2 linked regions of the Drosophila melanogaster genome follow. Changing the gene in region 1 together with any one later gene gives a genetic interaction. Each region holds a gene or a part of one and is shown on either strand. Other genes may lie near its edges.

Region 1 (11,566 bases):
GCCTTCATCATCCTGTTCATCATCGTGTTCGCGATCATCAACAACTTTTACCTGTTCTATTTGTTCTCCTGGCAGGTAAGCTGCATTCTCTGAACCACTAGTTTATTGATACTATTCAAGAATTTCCAAAGAATATCATAATTTTGATCGAAAAGGTTTATCTTGCAAATGTTTAAAAAGTGTATATATACATCTTTGTATCCACTTTCATTGTAAACAATTAACTACAATTTATCCAACCAGTTTTTTTGAAAGTGTTAAAAGATTGGAAGCACTTCTGGTTTATCAACATAAACTATCGTGAATAGTCCATAAATAATAAAAATAATAAACAGCAAGATAAACCTGTTTTGGAAAACAACGTTTAAAAACGTTTAAAGAAAAAGGTTAAATGTAAATGTTATTTTTCTTAATATGTTAATATAATCCTTTCCAGATCGTCGTCGCTGGCATGGCTCTGCCTGGTCTGGGCTACATCTTCGCCTTCCTGGCAGCCAAGCTGCTGCACCAAAATGCAGCCGACGCCCTGACCATCGCCATCGAGACGGGCATCCAGAACACGGGCATCGCCATCTTCCTGCTGACGACCACGCTGGAATCGCCGGAGGCGGACATCACCACGGTGGTGCCCGTATCGGTGGCCGTGATGACGCCGCTGCCCCTGCTGGGCATTTATCTGTACAACCGGTGCTGGGGCAACAAGCGAATTAGTGAGGCCAGCGCCACCGCCTCCGAAGCGGAGCGGATAGCTGGGGCGATACATTAGCATTACCATGGCTATATAGCATGGCTATAGCACATAGTTTCTTTGTACATATTCGTTATTTTGATAACCTATACATCGTGCTAGCGCACGTAGACAAGGCTGAGATAGATGCTGGTTAAATTTGGGACCAAGGAATGCCGCAAATCTCAAGCGTATTATACTCCAGAATTTCACCTAACACCTAAGACGAACCCAAACTTATTGGGATAATTATTTTTTTTACAATAAAATTAACCTATTAATTTTGCAAGCGTTATGGGCTATTTATTTGTAAATATATTTTATACAGTTTTTGTGCTATCGTTAAATCGTTAAACATTAAGGAACATGCATTTAAATATTCATATCCAAAACGTTTCGACGTGATTGTATAACAATATAATTTCAAGAGTTGGGCAGCAAACTTTTATGCAAAGTTTCGATTATAAGTGGCGGCGAAATTTTGAAATAATGTGCAATAATATTATTTAGAAATGAATGTACAGTAATATGGGTCTAGCAAAAAAGAATTTCCATCGATCATCACTGGTCACCCATGGTGTACGCCAGAAGGGCTGCCTCATCCAGAGTCACCACTTCGGTGGCCAGTGACTGTAGGATCTTCATTAGGCCAAATATGGTGTGCGCGCCGAGATTCAGCCGGCGGAATTCGTATAAAAGACGCATATAGTTAACTGTGCCCGTGCTCAAGTCCACTCCATTCAACATATTCGGCAACAGATTGTAGTAATTGATCACGCAGAAGGCTCGCTGCAAGTCCGGTCCACTGACTGTGGTCACATAGCTGGGATCCAGACGCCTTCGGCTGAGGAACTCGCGCAGCGGTAAGCACAACTCGCGCGTCGAGTCCTCCATTTCCTGCTTGAAGAGCTCTTGCATCATTTGGATAAGCTCCACGGAGATGAGCGGATGCTCGGACTCCTGGCTGCGACTCAAATAGGCATCGATGAGCTTCATCTGCCACACATCGATGTTGTTCGGCATGGACTTGGTTACGTGCTAAAAACAAAGAACGTTACATTCGCGGTCAAATTATGCAAGTGAATGGATGCACTTACATCGTATAGGGTTAGGTAAACCGGCAGGAAATGCATGCGATCCTTGACCACGGCATTGTAGAATAGCAGCATCACCTGGTGCCGCTTCATCAGCTCCGGGGGACTCAAATCCGTGCCTTTGGTGTCCAGGCAGCGACTGAGGAACTGCTTCACCATACGTTCGCTGGCAAACTGCTGCAGGTCGTTCATATCGATCTGCCAACAGATGCTCTGTTCCATCGTCAATGTTTGGGCCAGCATGCTCTTCAGCCTGTCCGGGTCCTCCAAGTGGGAAAGGCAGCCCGTTCGCTTCTTAATATCAATCGGTGCACTCATCTCCAGCGCCTTTTCCAGCTGATCCCAGTTGCGCGATCGCTCGAAGCACACTGGCCAATAGTTCTCGTCGTCCACCACCACCTGCTGCAGGGTGCTCAGCACTGGCAGGATGCAGGGAGCGATGGGCAGGCGGCGCAGCTCGGTGGCACCCACCTCCAACACGGATATGTTGGCCAGGCACAGCTTATTGGTGTCAATGTCCCGGGGAAGGAACAGGCGCGGTTCCACAGCCAGTACATAGAGATGTCTCAGCGCTTGCAGATGGTATCTTAAAATGTAAATCCATGCGGTGAAGTGTGCTAACACATTGCTGCAAATATATTAATCCTTACCGATTGTCGTTGCTGTGTATGGGAAACTTGGGGAAGAAGGCGCAGACCAGTGCAGCAATCGACTCCGGTGTCTGGGAAATGGTGAAGCGACCCGCGCCGAGGAATAGCAGGCCAAGCGACATGTGTATGGCCATGTGAGAGCCGTAGGTTATGTGCGGATATTGTGGTCCCACTCGCGACCTGAGAAACCGAATTATGCGAAGAATTTCGCAGTTGCCGGAGCCGGCGAACACCAACGAGATCGAGATGAGCAGCACCATCAGGCAGCTCTCCACAGTGGTGCGACCGGCACATTCGCCCATCGGCCTGCTGGGGAAGCGAAGGAAATCCTTTATCACCGACCGCAGCGTGGCAAAGGCCACCAGATTCTCAGTGCCGGCGTACTTGAGACCAATGCAGAAGGCAGCTCCAGCCATGATATTGCAATAGGCTTGCCTGGACAAGAGTATATAATTCGTATCTAATTACTTTGACATTCAACTTCAGTTACTCACGAGATGGCCTCGTAGTCCACGTCATAGTCCTCGGGTGCATACTCATTTTCGTAGAACGGGAGTTTTAGGTGAGCTCGGAGTGCTCGCGGAAACTGTGCCTGGAACCACGCGTTGTCCGGCCGGACATCCTGCCATAGGATGAGGCCCCGGGAAATTGTGCGCAGCAGAAGGAAGTCAGGCCGCACCATGTCCAGTAGATACCGCGAATCCGGCGGCTGCATCCATTCGGCAATAGCTGCGTTCCCCGAGTTGAAGAACATAAGTCCCAATGCGAGCGTTGCACCCGGAGCAGTGACATCTATGTTGACGGTATCGCCTTCACGAACTTGGAACGAGGCTAGTCGGTATTTCTCCTTCTGGGAACCGCCGATGGGTCTCTTCACTCCACCGACCATGTAGTAGTGCAGGGTATCCGGCAGTTGGAGGTCCCTTAGGCCCGCCGGCGATTCACCCTGACCGAGGGTAACCAATCCGAGGGATAGACCTGCTGTCATGGCATACGATTCGCGCTCAATGCTGTTCTCCATCTCAGGGCCTGGAGGACGGCCAATCTCCTGGAGCAGCACCTCGGCTATGTGGCGCTTAGCTGATCCTTGATAGAGCAAACCGACGCCCATTATAGCAGCCACCTGTGTGCTTTGCGGTATATCCAACTCCATGGCGGTGGCTGGCAGCAGTGCCTCCAAGTGAACGCTCAACAACTTTGTGGTTTTCGTATCCATGGTGCCGCGATGGGCAGCGGAAATGCCCAGCAGCAGACCAACGTTGGTCATCTCATCGCATTTAACCAAATACTTATAGACACTCATGAAGGACAGCGTCTTTAGGTGACCATTCAAGCCCAGGGCCATGAGGAAACCAGCGTGCTCCAGGGCATTATGCGAATGCGTTTTGGGCTTGTTGTAGACAATCCAATTGGAGTCTATGTCCTGAGCCTGGGGTGAGATCTTCAGGCCAGTGGCCACGCCATTGTGAAACGATGGCCACATTTGCATATTCGCTGGGAATTCGATCTGCTGCATTTCGATGGTGGTGCCCTTCAGCGGCTCCTTGCCCAACAGGCACAATTTGGGCATGGTCAAGCTTTCGCTGGGCCGCGGCAACATCGTTCTCAGGGTGAACATACCTCTGCCCACGGGCAGTGTCATTGTGCGCGAACATAGTGCAAACAGTTGCTTCTCCTGCTCCTCAATGAATTCGTGATCGCTGGTTCCCGGTGCCTGTTGCACTTCAATGACCACCGGTTCCGAGCTGTTAAGCAGACGGCGCACTTCATCCACCCGCATGTCATCGGGAAAACGCAGACGCAGTAGTTTTGTGTCCATGTTGTCCATGTCGTCGCGGCGCAATTGGGCCGGTGAATCAGTTTCTGATCCCCCGGTCGGCGGACACCTCGCTGACAGTGAATCTTCCTTGTAGACCCGGCCACAATGCGGTTGCCCAGTGCTCGTTTCGAGGAACGGCAGTTGAGCGTGGGCCGCCAATTCTGGACGCAGGATAAGTTCATAGGTGGCCATGCTGCAGCCCATGGGCGGCGAGAGGCGAGCCTCCTCCAGTGCCTCCGCTACAATCAGATGCACTGCCGCCGGGAATCTTTCAATGTCTCGCCGTGTCAAGCGCATGGCCAGAAGTAGCTGTAACATCTGATGGCTACGCGGAGCATCCGCCGTGATATTACGCTTAGAGCGCCGCGTAAAGTTGGCCTGAACGGCGCCGGGGATCTCAAGCAGCTGCCACCAGTAATTCAGACGCTCATGCCCATGAGTCACCAGCGATACGAGCTGCAGTAAAATGCGACTTCTCTCGTTAACGCACTCCAAGAAGGTGTAAGGCATCACCTCCTCCTCGCCGACAATAATGTGCTCGAGTTGGGCAAACACACTGGGTGCCGGAACCCTCAGAAGCTCCTGGTGCAGCATCATAGCTCCGTGCTCAGCTCCCAGCAACGAGAGCTTGCCCGTACGATTCGAGAGTTCCGGAAAGTCTAGTATGTAGTGCAGCACATAACTTTCCAGCTGCATATCGATGGCCAGCTGGTGTAGGAACTGGAACGAGGAGATGGTGTTAGAAAACCACTAATGGATCTATTAAATGATTCACCTACCGTTGCCAGATATGGAAGCGCTCCATAAAAGTCAGCGTCCAGTTTGAGATCCTCGTACAGTAAATGCAGGCTGAAGAAGATGGCGGGAATCATTCGGAAGAGCAGCGCACCGATGTTCACGCTGTAGCTGTGGCCATCGGCTCCGCAGGGAGCCAGTGTCGTCTGGAGCAGCAGGAACTCCCAGTCGTCGTCCGTGAAATCATCGCAATCATTGTATATTCGCCGTTTCTTCGGCTCATCCTGGCCACCCAGTGTAGAATTGGAACTGCAACTAGAACCGTCACTCGATTCCGTCGCAGTAGCGCCGCCTCCAAATTGAGTGTGCAGCGGTGGCGTGGCACATCTAGCGTAGTTCTCGCCCGCATCCACATCCGGTGCAGCAGTCAGACCCATTAGGGCGAGCAGTGTGGAGCGGAATAGCAGCCATTCCTGCTCTATGGAGTAATTCCTCGATCCCGGCGGATTCCTGTCGCTATACCAACGGATAACAAAGTCCAGGAACTGGGTCGGACTTAGAACCTGCCGTAGCGTAGCCACACATCTGGTGAGCAATCGTGTATCATTTAGAAATGGCAGCGCTATTCTGAGCATTCTGCCCGTGGCATAAACCAAAGTCAATCGATTTCCCGCCGGATCTCTCAGGGATTTGCAGACATTGTGCGCCTGCCGCTGTGTGTAGGACACCGGCTGCGGTTGGATGGGCGACAGCATGTGCAGCTCCTCTTCGAAGGCAGCCACATCCCCCGGCGCTTTTGTGGGCAGTAGGCTGCTCCTTCGCACCTCCACGAAAGAACTGCTGCCGGACGGAATGCCGCTTGCTGGTCCAGCAGCTGCCATTGGTGTTTTAACGTGAGACGGAGCGGGCGAAGCCGACGGAGATGGGGCAGCAGTCATGGGCGTTACCAGCGGTGTGGGAATGGAGGTAGGCGCCAAAAACGGCGTAATGTGCACCTTGGATATGAGCACGGTGCCTGTGTATAGAAGTAAGCTGCCACTCGGATCGAGAACGGCAATCATGTGCATTCTCTTCAGACCCACTGCATCTTTCGCGGCCAGCGTGGAGGCGTGCGTGGAGAGCTGCACCTCGCCCCTTCCATAGCCAGTGAGGCGGACCAACTGAAGGCGGCACGAGCGGGCCAGCAGGTAGCACAAAAAGGTCTGACCCACTAAATCCGTGTGGATAAATGCTCGGGTGGCCATCTCGCAGAACTCTCGTTGACTAAGGAAGACAGACAATTTTAGTACTGAAAGTGGCATCTTTGGTGGCATTTACTGACGTTCCGTAGATGTTCTCCGTCCAGATGTGCTCCATACACAATTCCGGCTCAATGGGTTTTGCCGGCTTCACGTGCGTTAACTTGCGCATATCCTTCACGGACATGGACTGCTGGCTAATACTGCTCTGCAGTTGGCTCAATGGAGTGCCTAGGGAGGCGCGACTAAACGGAAGAAGAGGCAATAATAAGTAAGTGATGGATGACAGCGACTTAAACGTACTTCGACTGTCCAAGAACTCCGCTGAACGACTGCGACTGGCTGAGTCCGAACTGGTTGCCCATGCCGGTGGTGGTGGTGTTGATATTCCTGGCCGCAAACGATAAGTTCGTTGCTTTTGGCGTGGCTAGCAATGGATAGACAGTGAATAAATCGTATGCCCTTGCTGGCATTGCTATCAACTCACCTCCAGTTTGCTTGGTGGAACTGAAACTATTGCCTGCCATCGACCTGGGTCCCATTAGCGTCTGTCCCAGCTCCATCTGCTGACTCACATAGTTGATCTCTTCGGGCGTTACCTTACGCAGGCGTGCAACGAAATGCTTAAAGAACTTGGCATCGTACAGCATCACCAAATCCGATTCCTCGGTGGTGAAGACCACAGTGTATTCCGGTTCGGTCATGTAGCCGGTGGAGCCGGTGGCCGTCTTCAGGACGACGGGACAGGCCTCGTGCAGCGGATGCGACATAGAGAAGAGACGCGGCATCGGAATGGACATGTGCGATATCAAGGCATTGCTGGAGTCCTTTTCCAGCAGCAGGCCATACTTGGTTTGCCACAGCTGTGACACGGGAAAGTCCAGATTGGCTAGAAAGTCCTCGCCGTTGCTGCAGTACACCCGCAGGGCGTCCTGATCCATCACACAGATGGCGGTCAAATGGTCGTCATCCGGGTGGACAGCCGCCTTCAGCTGCGCCAGTCGCCCGCGCACAAAACTGCGATTCAGGAAGCAGGCGAAGCGCACCGGCGTATCGGTGGTGAAACACATGCGCCGGTACACCCCATTGTCGGTATCGTCGTCATCGTTGACGCCTTGTGTCCACACCACCGTGTTCCGGTTCACATAGAGCTCCTCCTCGTTGTTAACCATATAGTCGCACATTGGCTCCACGCGCCGCACCAGCGGTGGATTGAGCAGTCTGTTCGGCAGCGAGGTGGCCTGGAGACCACATCGCTTTGTCCGCTCGGTCAACTTGCGTCGCAGGGCGGCGCGCTCCTCGGATGCCTCGTAGTCATCGTACAGCTCTCGGACTGTCCACGACTCCTGTCCGCCCGAAGGGCAGTCCTCACCGGCCGACGAGATGTTCACATTCTGGAGGCGCTGCAGCAGCAGATGCTCCGTGGTGGGCAGTTGGTGGCGCGCCATTGGCTGGTCATGTGGGCCCGGATGCTCCGCGGACGTCTGACGGCCGCGCGGCACAAACTCCAGCGGCGGTTCTGCGACGGCGATCATGTCCGCGTCGCCAGGTGCATCCAGAATTGCGATTGACAAGTTAATTGATTACAATTTATTATTAGCAAGGAATTTGCACAATTATTTAAAAACTGTCATCGAAATCGGGTGGCGATAAGTGCCTGATTCTATCGGGCCTGCAGTACTTCGATATGAGGAGAGCTATCAAAAGGCCGATAACGATAGGAAGACCAGAATCGCGACAAACAAAACAATTACCAGTATATGCCATAAAGTCATACCGAAAGAAATGCTAGAGAAATGGCTTTGCCTATTTTTAAAAATATAAAATATAACAGTTCGATTGCTTTTACTATCGATTACAATGCCGGTTGGTCACTTGTAGCAACCAGCTTTGGTCCGCTGGCGTACCGGTTATTTTCCCGGTCTGGCAGCACAGTGCGTTTGTTCGGCTTTTCCAATTGGATTTCGGAGTCTGGATTTTGATTTGAGCAGACAAACGGAACCGGAAATCCTGGCCAGAATTTGGCAATGAGCAGCGGCACCGCCGGCTGCAAGCGCGCGCACAGCATCGAGGTTGAGCAGCCGCTGACGTCGGAGCGCCTGGAGCACAGCCTGCTGTTGGTCAAGGGACGCCTGGTGCCCAAGTGTTCCACGGCGCGTCAACTGAAGGCGATCCTCGATCTGCCCGAGCACCTGTCCCAGGAGCAGCTCACCCAGCTGTCGGCCGGCGGCGAGTTTAAGCTCCTATTCGACTTGGAACAAGCGAATCGCGAGGAGGAGGAGGAGGAGAGCGCCTGCCTCCTGGAGTTGCGATCCTGCACGGCCACCCGAACGATTAGCTTCAGTTACCGGCCCCGCCGCAGCTCCTACCGGGTGCAGCCGCTCTACCTGCTCTGTCAGGACGAGGAGAAGACGCTGGCGCAGCAGCACGAGGTGCACTCCCTCATCGATCTTAATTTGCGGCTGGTGCAGTCCATCTACGCGCACAAACTGCACGCGGCGGGCTTTCCCAACCGCACCTTCACGCTCAACGGCAAGTGCTGCGCCTTCCGCAGCCAGTTGACCCGGAAACAGGCGCTGGCGAAGAGCGAGGACGAGCTGTGGCAGCATTTCGCCGGCGAGATTATCGCCTGTCCGCAGTGGGGCCACCAGTTGCTCCTCAAGTTCGTCGCCTTTGTGGGCTGCACGCGCTACGACGGCGACGCAGTGGTGGCCAGCGGTGACTCCTCGTACGCCAACATCCGGCGGCATCTCAAGGGACACGCAGCACTCGGTGGCGGCGGCTTGGCGCTCTTTGGTAGTGCCCACTTCTACGCGTGGCCCACGAGCTTCGCGGAGATCGGCGACTGTGTGCGCAGCGCCCAGCGGGTGGACATCGCCCGCCTGCCGGACGAGAGCAACTATCGGCGGACGTACGGCGGCGTCTATGCCAGCACCTTGGGCGCCGTGTGCCACGAACTGGGCCACTGCTTCGATCTGGGCCACACCAGCGAGGGTGTGATGGGCCAGGGCTTCGACTACTTGAATCGCGTGTTGACCGTGGACCAGCCCACGGAGCATTTGCCGCAGCGAATTGTGGACGCCCGCAGGGGCTCACTTGCCAATACTAATTCATCCGAGGGCGGATCATCCTCATCCAGCTCCACCTCCTCCTCCTCCTCGTCCGCCGGCAGTGGCGCCGCAACGGGCAACCGCGCCCGCCTCACCAAACTGAAATTGCAGCCAAGCAGCCAACTGCTGGACAACTACCACAACCAGCGACGCCACGATAGCTTCTATTTTGCACGCAACTGTGCCGTAATCCTGGCCCATCATCGCTGGCTGAATTTGGAGCTGGAGCAGACGGCTGCCGTCGACTTTGAGGCGGCCAGCATACAATTGAACCGCGACACGCGTGAGATTCGCTCCAGCAGGCCCATCCGACTGATCGAGCTGCGCTGCAACCAGAACAGCCTGGTGGCCCACTACGAGGAGTTCGAGGAGCCGTATGTGCACCGCTTCCAGCTGCCCGCTTCGCTGTGGCATCTCCTCGCGGAGCAGTGCACCCACTACGTTTTCGTGCTGACCACCAGTGGCGACACCAAGCGGCTATCCTGCGATTCCTCCTAGGATTGCCGCAGCGCGAGGTGAGTGGCCCACGTCCTTGGCATAGTTAACTGGATGAAAGGGGCAACTTTTTGCAATGCTTGCCATATATGAAAATATTATCCCGAATGCGATTTCAATGTATATATAATATAATCGCTTTGTAATTAGTGAATGTACTTAAAAATACTCGACAAGAGTAGTAGAAATAATTTAAGAAAGATATCATTCTGTTTGAATGCAACTCAATTAGCCAGCAATCAATTAAGCTGATAAAGATTCCGTCGAAAGATTCCCCCGCCACGCAATCAAATTGCTTGATAAAACCGAAACCCAGAGCCCAGCCATCATCGGTGAGTCATTGCTGTTCCATTGCCAGATTCCATACGCGGTGACGTGCACCCTGGTTGGTTGGTTCCACAAAATCAAACTGTCTGACTTTCGCAGCGCTGGCGAAAACAAAATAGGGAAAACAATTCAGATTAACATGGGAATGCCATAATTTTATTTATTGATAAGCCTTATCGCTGTTACTATGATTCGAAAATGCGTGATAGTTAAAAGTTTGTCTAAAAGTTTTTATTTGCTAACTTGCAAATTGGCATTTGAAAACGGTTGCCATTTGAAATACATATATCTTTTTAAAACGCTTTTTTTTTTAGCTAGAAAAACGGTTTTTAACTATTTTTAGTTTTTAGTATTTAGTTTACTAAATACTTTTGGTATTTACACGCATTGCGGTTAGAAAAACGTTAGCGTATTGAGTAAATTATTGTTTGATTCGAGTTTTTGAATCTAAAACACTTTCAAATACTTTAATTTAGCAATTGAAAGTGTTGAAATTGTTAAAGTAACTTAGAATTGTAAGTAACTTTGTCTATTTCAATCTCAGTTCAAAACTTCTCAATCTAAAGCTGTAATTTTTGTAAGTTCCTGCTGTCCGATAATTTGAGACATAAAATCGCGTTTTATCCCATGGTGCAAACCTGAAATCAGGTTTTCGTACTAAGCCAACTCGGATTGGATCGAAGTGTGCGGAACTCGAGCTCTCTGGCGGCTCTCCAAGATCCAAGACGCCAGCTGTGAGGTGGGTTAAAGCTCTGACCCCTTGCACCACCCCCCCCGTAACCCGTTCCCCCCGGCGAGTGGGGAAACGTAGTCGCGCACGGCACTTTGCTCAGCCCAGTTTCCATTATCGCCGCGTCGGAGGAGAAGGCCGTCCGATGGCGAGCTCAAGTGTCGCACGAGTGTAGAGTAGTATTAGAATTCCGAGCGCAGCTCGTTCGATAAGATAAACAGCCGATATTGGTGCCCGAAACTAAGCAGGTGGCCAACTTCGCTTGCAGATTTACCAATCAGTCGGCGTTCGAAGCGCATTGGATACGGAACCAATCGGAGAGCTAAGGAGAGCAGAAACGCAGCAGAGCAGAGCAGGAAATTAGAGGACGGAACAGGACAGAACAGGAGCACACGATGGCAGCCAGCGAGGGATCGGCGGCGCGCATTCAGTTCAAGGCGCTGCGCGGATTTCCGGCCATCGGCGATACCGCTGATAAGCTGGAGACACAGGCCTTTCTCGACGCCTCCAAGGAGATAGTAACCGTCATAGGTGATAACAGCGCACCCAAACCGAAGCCAATCAATTCAACTCACTGCTATCTATTTACCATTTTTCATTTTTCAGAGAGCTTCGGCAAACTATTCACACCCGTGATCAGC
Region 2 (6,586 bases), on another chromosome or scaffold:
ATCGATAGAGATCTACGGATCTCTGGAAAGCATCTGGCATGAAGGGATAACGATAAGGTAAACGAAATCCATCGCAGCGTCTTAGATCGGTCGAAAAACAGAGACCACCCAAATTTATGTAATACAATACCTGCTCCAATAATAATCATAACATTTGAGTCGATTTACGACGGCTGAACTTGAAGCATTCGATAAAATGAAAAAATAAATAAATCTATGGCACAGGGAGAAAATGAAATCAGTTTACAATCCGATACATACTCAGCGGGCGAGCATTTACAAACAATGAAATTCAATGCAATAATTCAAGATTCAATTGAATTTTAAGTACGCCCAGCGCCGAGCTTCCTTTTGTATCCGTAACTAGAAACTGACGATAAGCTGAGGCCAGCCGACTGTCAGTCACTCAGTCCGTCAGTCGGTCAGTTAGGCAGTCAGTCAAGCATTCAGTCAGTCCCGCCGACGGCCATCCATCTCATCCCAGATCGTCTGTCTGTGTGTCGCGCACGCGCATAAACTTCCCACTGAGCCAGTTGGCCTGTAGGAGGGAATTGGGCCCAAACCCGAGTCAGTTATTGCTAGCGGCTAAGCTGTAATAGTGGGCCACACATTTGGGGATTGAGTTTAATAAAATATCCTAACAAGTGCTGAATTCGGTGAGATGAAAATCTTGCGATTGCCAGAGTTGGATATCAAATAATAAGGATCATGACATTTCACTTAACACACTTTCATATAATTTCTGTCATAGAGCATTGAACTAAGGCTTAATTTAGCATCGTAGATCTCATGAGTAAGAAGTAAAATCAATATTATGAAAATAAATATATATATAATTAGTAATTTAATTGGTTGCCAATTTGTGTTAAGATGCCAAATAAAGATGCTCTGAAAGATCCGTTTAGCAGCATTACAGTTCGAGACAAAAACACTCTTTACCTTGTGAAATTACTGAGAAGTCGCGAAAAGATCACCAACCAGACGATACAACAGGAGTTCAGAGTTGTCAATAAAAATTAATTGCAATTTTATTGCCACAGAAGGCAGCTCCTGCATACAAAGTACTCGATATGCCTTACACTCGATTGATCTTTAGGCTTCGGAGTTACCAAGCAATTGAATGTCTTTTGGTAGCTCAAGTAAATACAAAATTAAGACTTTTAAGAGTTGTGAGCCAACTTAGGCACTATTGCCAATTAGGGCATGATATGGAAAATAAGGAGAACGCAGTTAAATAAATGCATACTACAGAATTAATGCAATATATATTACATCACCTAAAGTAAAAGTAAATATAGTTAGTTTAACCACTATTAAGAATACCCTTAGCCACAATCTTATTTCCGAATGGTAAAAATTTCTTTAAAGTTTATAGAACCAAAAAGGGAAGTCAAGTATAATTTGCCACATTTCTGGTACGAATAATAAAACGTTAGTCAAAACGTAGTCATACATATACATATGAATAAATACAGCGAAGGTAATAATTCCTATAGCAGATTTATCATATAGTGGTCAGATCCGTCCCGTTCAATCTTATATAATATTCATACTATAATCAAAGACACTCAAATAATTCTAGTGTCTTTGCTATAATAGTATATAATATACATACTGCCAGCAGATTGCTTCAGATTTAAATGACTTGTTTGCGTAGAAACTGACGAACGGATATATGTATGTGAACTCGGCTGCTGATACTGATCAAGAATATATATCCTTTATATGGTCACGAATGTCTCTGTTGCACACTACAGACTAAAATCAAAATATTCTCTGAAAGGTATTCCCAACAAAAAACGCTATATCCTGGGATAACCATTGTATTCTTACGATTAATTTCACAAAATGAATTAAGAAACTATAATTGTACAGAAACGATTATTTAAAGGATTATTGCCGTTCAAAAACGAAAGAGTAATTCCCGCTACTGTTCCGCTGTTTTCACGTCCGCAGATTTAAGTGACCCAATTGCAAAAACAAAAGCAAAACAATATTAATTCAACTCTGAGCCGACTGATGCTGCAGGCACCTCAAAGTTAAAAAATGCGTAGCACGTGCGTTCAGAAATTCGGCCAAGAAAAAAGGAAACTGTTAACTGGGTCCATAAATTCAACTTTGTTGTATATACATACATACATACTGTATGTTCATATAAGTACGTCACTTTAAACATCTGCCTTCGTTTCCTTTAACTCTTTAATTTATTTTTGATCCAGCTTTAATAACTATTAATTTATTATTCCTATAACTTGTACGTTGAATGGGCATAGGTAATTTTCTTGAAATATGAAATATTTAAAATGGAATGCATTCTGTATGAAATGTATTCGGGCCTAAAAAGATGATTGTAGTTATTTAAATTTGAAACTAGATTTTTAATACAAGAAGATTGATAAAAAGTTATTTTTGATTTATATTTAATAAATATTTTAGAACTAAAACCAAAATAAATGATGTTTTCCCTACTAAAATTATACTCGAACTTGTAGCTGTATTAAAACGTGTTCACTTATTGATTAAATCATAGCCCATACAGTTAGTTATACGTTCTCAATTTTTGCCAATCTTGCGCTTCTGATTTCCAATGAAATAAAAGTGACTATTGTACGAATCACCCTAATATTTTTTCACAACTGGTATTTTTCTCCGTCCCGCAATCGGTAACACCATGCAGGGTGTCTGAGTTTCGAATCGGCATAAATTCGCCGGCAGCTGAGCAAGATGTATCCTGTGAGCTCGCAAAAGAGGTCCTGGACATTCGCCAATGAGGGCCAGCTCATGGAGTTCCGCGTGGAGCAGAACAGCAAGTACATCGAGTCGCACGAGGAGGAGGCGCAGGGTCGCGACCTCAATGAGCACTTTCTCACGTCGGCGGAGGAGCGCCTGTTGCTGAAGCAGTACGAGATCTACCTGTTCGATTTCTGCCGCCGCTTCGAACCGACGATGCCCAAGTGCGTTGTGGGCACGGCCTTCCACTACTTCAAGCGGTTCTATCTGAACAACTCCCCCATGGACTATCACCCCAAGGAGATTCTGTAGGAACGCTCACCTGAGAGCAGCAAACACCCAGCTGAAAAGCAAAACATTCTAAAAATGTATAAACCTTTTCAGAGCCACATGCGTGTTCGTTGCCTGCAAAGTTGAGGAGTTCAACGTGTCCATCAACCAGTTCGTAAACAACATCAAGGGCGACAGGAACAAGGCCACCGACATAGTGTTGTCCAATGAATTACTGCTGATTGGACAGCTCAACTACTACCTCACCATACACAATCCGTTCAGACCCATCGAGGGTTTCCTGATAGATATAAAAGTGCGATATATATTCACATTTGCTCTCCAGATTGTTTCGTTCATATTGGTTTGTTTCAGACTCGCAGCAATATGCAGAATCCAGATCGTCTGCGGCCACATATTGATAGTTTCATTGATTCCACGTACTACTCGGATGCCTGTCTTCTGCATACGCCTTCGCAAATTGCATTGGCTGCCGTCCTCCACGCGGCCAGCAGAGAGCAAGAGAATCTCGATAGCTATGTGACGGATCTTCTGTTTGTCTCCGCCAGGGAGAAGCTACCCGGACTCATAGATGCCGTGCGAAGTAAGTTTGTGCTGTGAGATGGTGCGCCCAGCCCTACATGCCTTTTTCCCGACAGAAATTCGCATAATGGTGAAGCAATATCAGCAGCCCGATCGGGAGAAGGTCAAGGCCATCGAGAAAAAGTTGGACAAGTGCCGAAATCAAGCCAATAATCCTGATAGCGAACTGTAAGACGCCCTAATTTGTTCATGCATTCCGAATTTAATAACCCTTATACTTTAAAAGCTATAAGGAGCGCCTACGCCGATTGTACACCGATGAGGATGACATGCCCGCCGAAGATGCCTCATTCCACATTGCAGATGTGAGCTCGGACACATCTGCTATGAACATCAGCCAATAGACTTAAGAATATTTATTTAAATGATGTGATGATCTACTACTGCGTGGATTTCATCGATATTAAAGCATTTTGTAATTTACCATTTCTTGATTGTTAAAATGTATGCGTTTAGTGTTAGTTTACTAAACAAAGTTGGATTAGGTACTTCACTTTTCCAATATATAAAATATTAAAAAAAAAACCTTTTGAAAATCCGCTTAGCGCTGCTTGGCAATATTTCGTTCGCAGCTAACGGCCACACTGCGCCCCAAGAAAAACAAGAATAGTGAACTCAGTCACAACAAATAGCAAAAAGAGTTCGAAATGCAGGATTTTCTGCCTTCGCTGGATGTTCTCTTTCTTGGACTACCAGGCCACTACTCGGTAGCGCTGGTCACCCTTCTGCTGTGCGTTTTGGTCGCCTTCTACTTCGCCAACATCTTCAAGGACAAAGGCGTGGGTGTTTTTGCCGGAAGAAGTAGACGTCTCCTGGAATATTTCCTTACATTATCTTGCAGGAACTGGAGGACGAGGGCCTGGGGGCCGACGAGCCGCGCGATGAGGAGGATTCCGAGTCACGGACTCCGCAAGGGGAGGAAACCGACGATGACGAGGCCTACGAAGAGAACTCCACCGAAAGCGAAGTTGAGCTAATCGAGGAACAGCTGCCCGAGCACAGCTACAACCACCTGATGGGCCAGCTCAAGGCCAAGAGGCTCCAGCATAAGATGGAGAAGACCCTGACTCCCAGCCAAATCGAGGAGGAGCGCCGAATAGAGCGCGAGCAGCTGGCGGCCATCTTTGAGCTCCTGCGCAAACAGGAGGCGGAATTGAACCTCCAGGACCGAATAAGCGACCAGGATCTCAAGCAGCAGGTGCGGCTCTATCGCTGAAGTGGCGCCGAGCCTGGGCTCACCCTACCTGAATGTACAGACTTGTGTGATCTATTAGTTTAATGTTTAAAATTCCAAGATTTGGTGTTGCCTCATACGGTCCACTAAGTGCGGGCAAGTCTTTAGTCAGAGAGCTATCTCATCAGTCGATGATGTCGGAATATAATATCTTAGTTGTATGTAAATTATATGTATTCCACTTCGATCTATGTATTTTGTGAGTTCCTGGTGTTATTAATATCTGATTTAGATTTGTAGTAAATGGCTGTTCGGCTCTTAGTCTCTTAAATCAGCTTTCGAATTAAGAATATATGTATATATTTTAACGTGTTACAAGATAAAAACTCGCGATCAGAAAGTGTATAGATTTAAACACAATTAATCGCCAAATTCGTTGGTTAGATTTAAATTGTGTTCATATAACTTTGGATTTATTTGTTCAATAAAGAATGTTTAGCTGTGTTAAGATGTAATATATACTCTAAATATTTCCTACCGTTTCCTAGCCAAATATCCGAAAATAACCGCTCATATTTTATATGCCGCGATTGGATTTTTGAAAATAATTGTTCTAACATATAGATTCCATCAGCACACCTTCGATTGGAGCAGTCGAAATGCTTAGCGTTTCTGTTCCAAATTTTTTAGTACTAAAATGTTTTTAAATTCACGTGGAGCAGATATTTTGTTGGAGTTCTAAATACGTTCGGTTTGGTTTGGTTGATGTTTAAACGTGTCGTTGTGGCGCCAATGCCCATGCATGTTTACTATCGCTTATCGATACACCGCGTACACGGCAACCGTGTGTGACCAATTCAAGCACGAAATCGTTGACCAACACTGATTGTACATCAGACGACACGACAACAAAAACAACAGCAACAACACCACCGACGTGCTTGTTCCTGTGTGTGTGTGCGTGTGAGATTGGAAGACAATGGCTGCAGCTGCGGATCTGGTTGTTCCTACCCTTGCCAGTGAGTATAGCCCGGATGCAATCCCCGCCAGGTGGTCACTGAGGTGCCGTCGACTCCTTGGAGCATCGAAGGCAGCCGATTGGGCCGCCCGGTTAGCGGAAAAACTGGAAAAACCGCGCGACCTCGTGTTTCCACCTGCTAATCGGGGTCACCTCTCGATTCTCATCAACAGTTCGCTCTAGCGTGGCCGTGGAATTGTGGTCCTCGGCGGGCTCCAAGCAGCCCTTCGAGCACAAGCCCCACCTGCCGCGCGAGGAGACGAAGAGCTCGCGCTCGATCTGCTTCAGCTCCAACGGCCGGTACTTCGCCTACTCCAACGGGCAGGAAGTCAAGGTGCTCCAGGCCAGCCGGGACAGCGCAGCCAGCTGGCCAGTGATATGCGTGCTGCCCAGGCCGAAAGCCTTCTACCTCCAATTCTCGCCACGTGGCAGCTACCTGTGCACCTGGGAGCACTATGCCATCACTAAGGACCGGCCGGAGGGGTCACCCAATCTGCTCGTCTACGAAGTGGCCACCGGTGTCGAAGTGTTTGCCATCGTCCAGAAGAACCAAGCGGACTGGCAGCCCTCCTGGTCGGCGGACGAGTCCATCTTCGCTTTGGTAGTCGGCGGCGAGGCACTCTTCTATGACCTCGGCGAGGGAGCGGAGAAGGGATTCGCCACCACATCGCGCAAGATAGGAGGCAGTCGCGGCGGTATGCTGTCGCTGGGTCCCGGTAACTGCCCCCCGTTCCTTGCGTTCTACACGCCGGGAGCCAAGGGCGCTCCGTCCATGTGCAAGCTCTACAAGT

Evidence for each region. A genetic interaction does not mean that the proteins touch.
Region 2: of shtd (region 1) and CycH, changing one enhances a phenotype caused by changing the other (phenotypic enhancement), as found in Drosophila melanogaster (one study listed by BioGRID).

The regions. Positions count from the first base shown.
Region 1 is NC_004354.4:15,454,538-15,466,103, forward strand, and holds shtd (shattered), read right to left. Parts: upstream 7,905-11,566; 5' UTR 7,799-7,904; coding exon 6,751-7,798; intron 6,691-6,750; coding exon 6,567-6,690; intron 6,509-6,566; coding exon 6,347-6,508; intron 6,289-6,346; coding exon 5,070-6,288; intron 5,011-5,069; coding exon 2,966-5,010; intron 2,907-2,965; coding exon 2,472-2,906; intron 2,408-2,471; coding exon 1,825-2,407; intron 1,766-1,824; coding exon 1,289-1,765; 3' UTR 1,007-1,288; downstream 1-1,006. Other genes in the region: CG11655 (uncharacterized protein), read left to right, coding at 1-75, 437-766; CG6294 (uncharacterized protein), read left to right, coding at 8,291-9,871; CG6299 (uncharacterized protein), read left to right, coding at 11,321-11,456, 11,532-11,566.
Region 2 is NT_037436.4:21,819,282-21,825,867, forward strand, and holds CycH (cyclin H), read left to right. Parts: upstream 1-2,715; 5' UTR 2,716-2,724; coding exon 2,725-3,038; intron 3,039-3,114; coding exon 3,115-3,316; intron 3,317-3,375; coding exon 3,376-3,604; intron 3,605-3,659; coding exon 3,660-3,771; intron 3,772-3,829; coding exon 3,830-3,947; 3' UTR 3,948-4,028; downstream 4,029-6,586. Other genes in the region: CG7407 (uncharacterized protein), read left to right, coding at 4,251-4,382, 4,445-4,819; eIF2A (eukaryotic translation initiation factor 2A), read left to right, coding at 5,757-5,796, 5,969-6,586.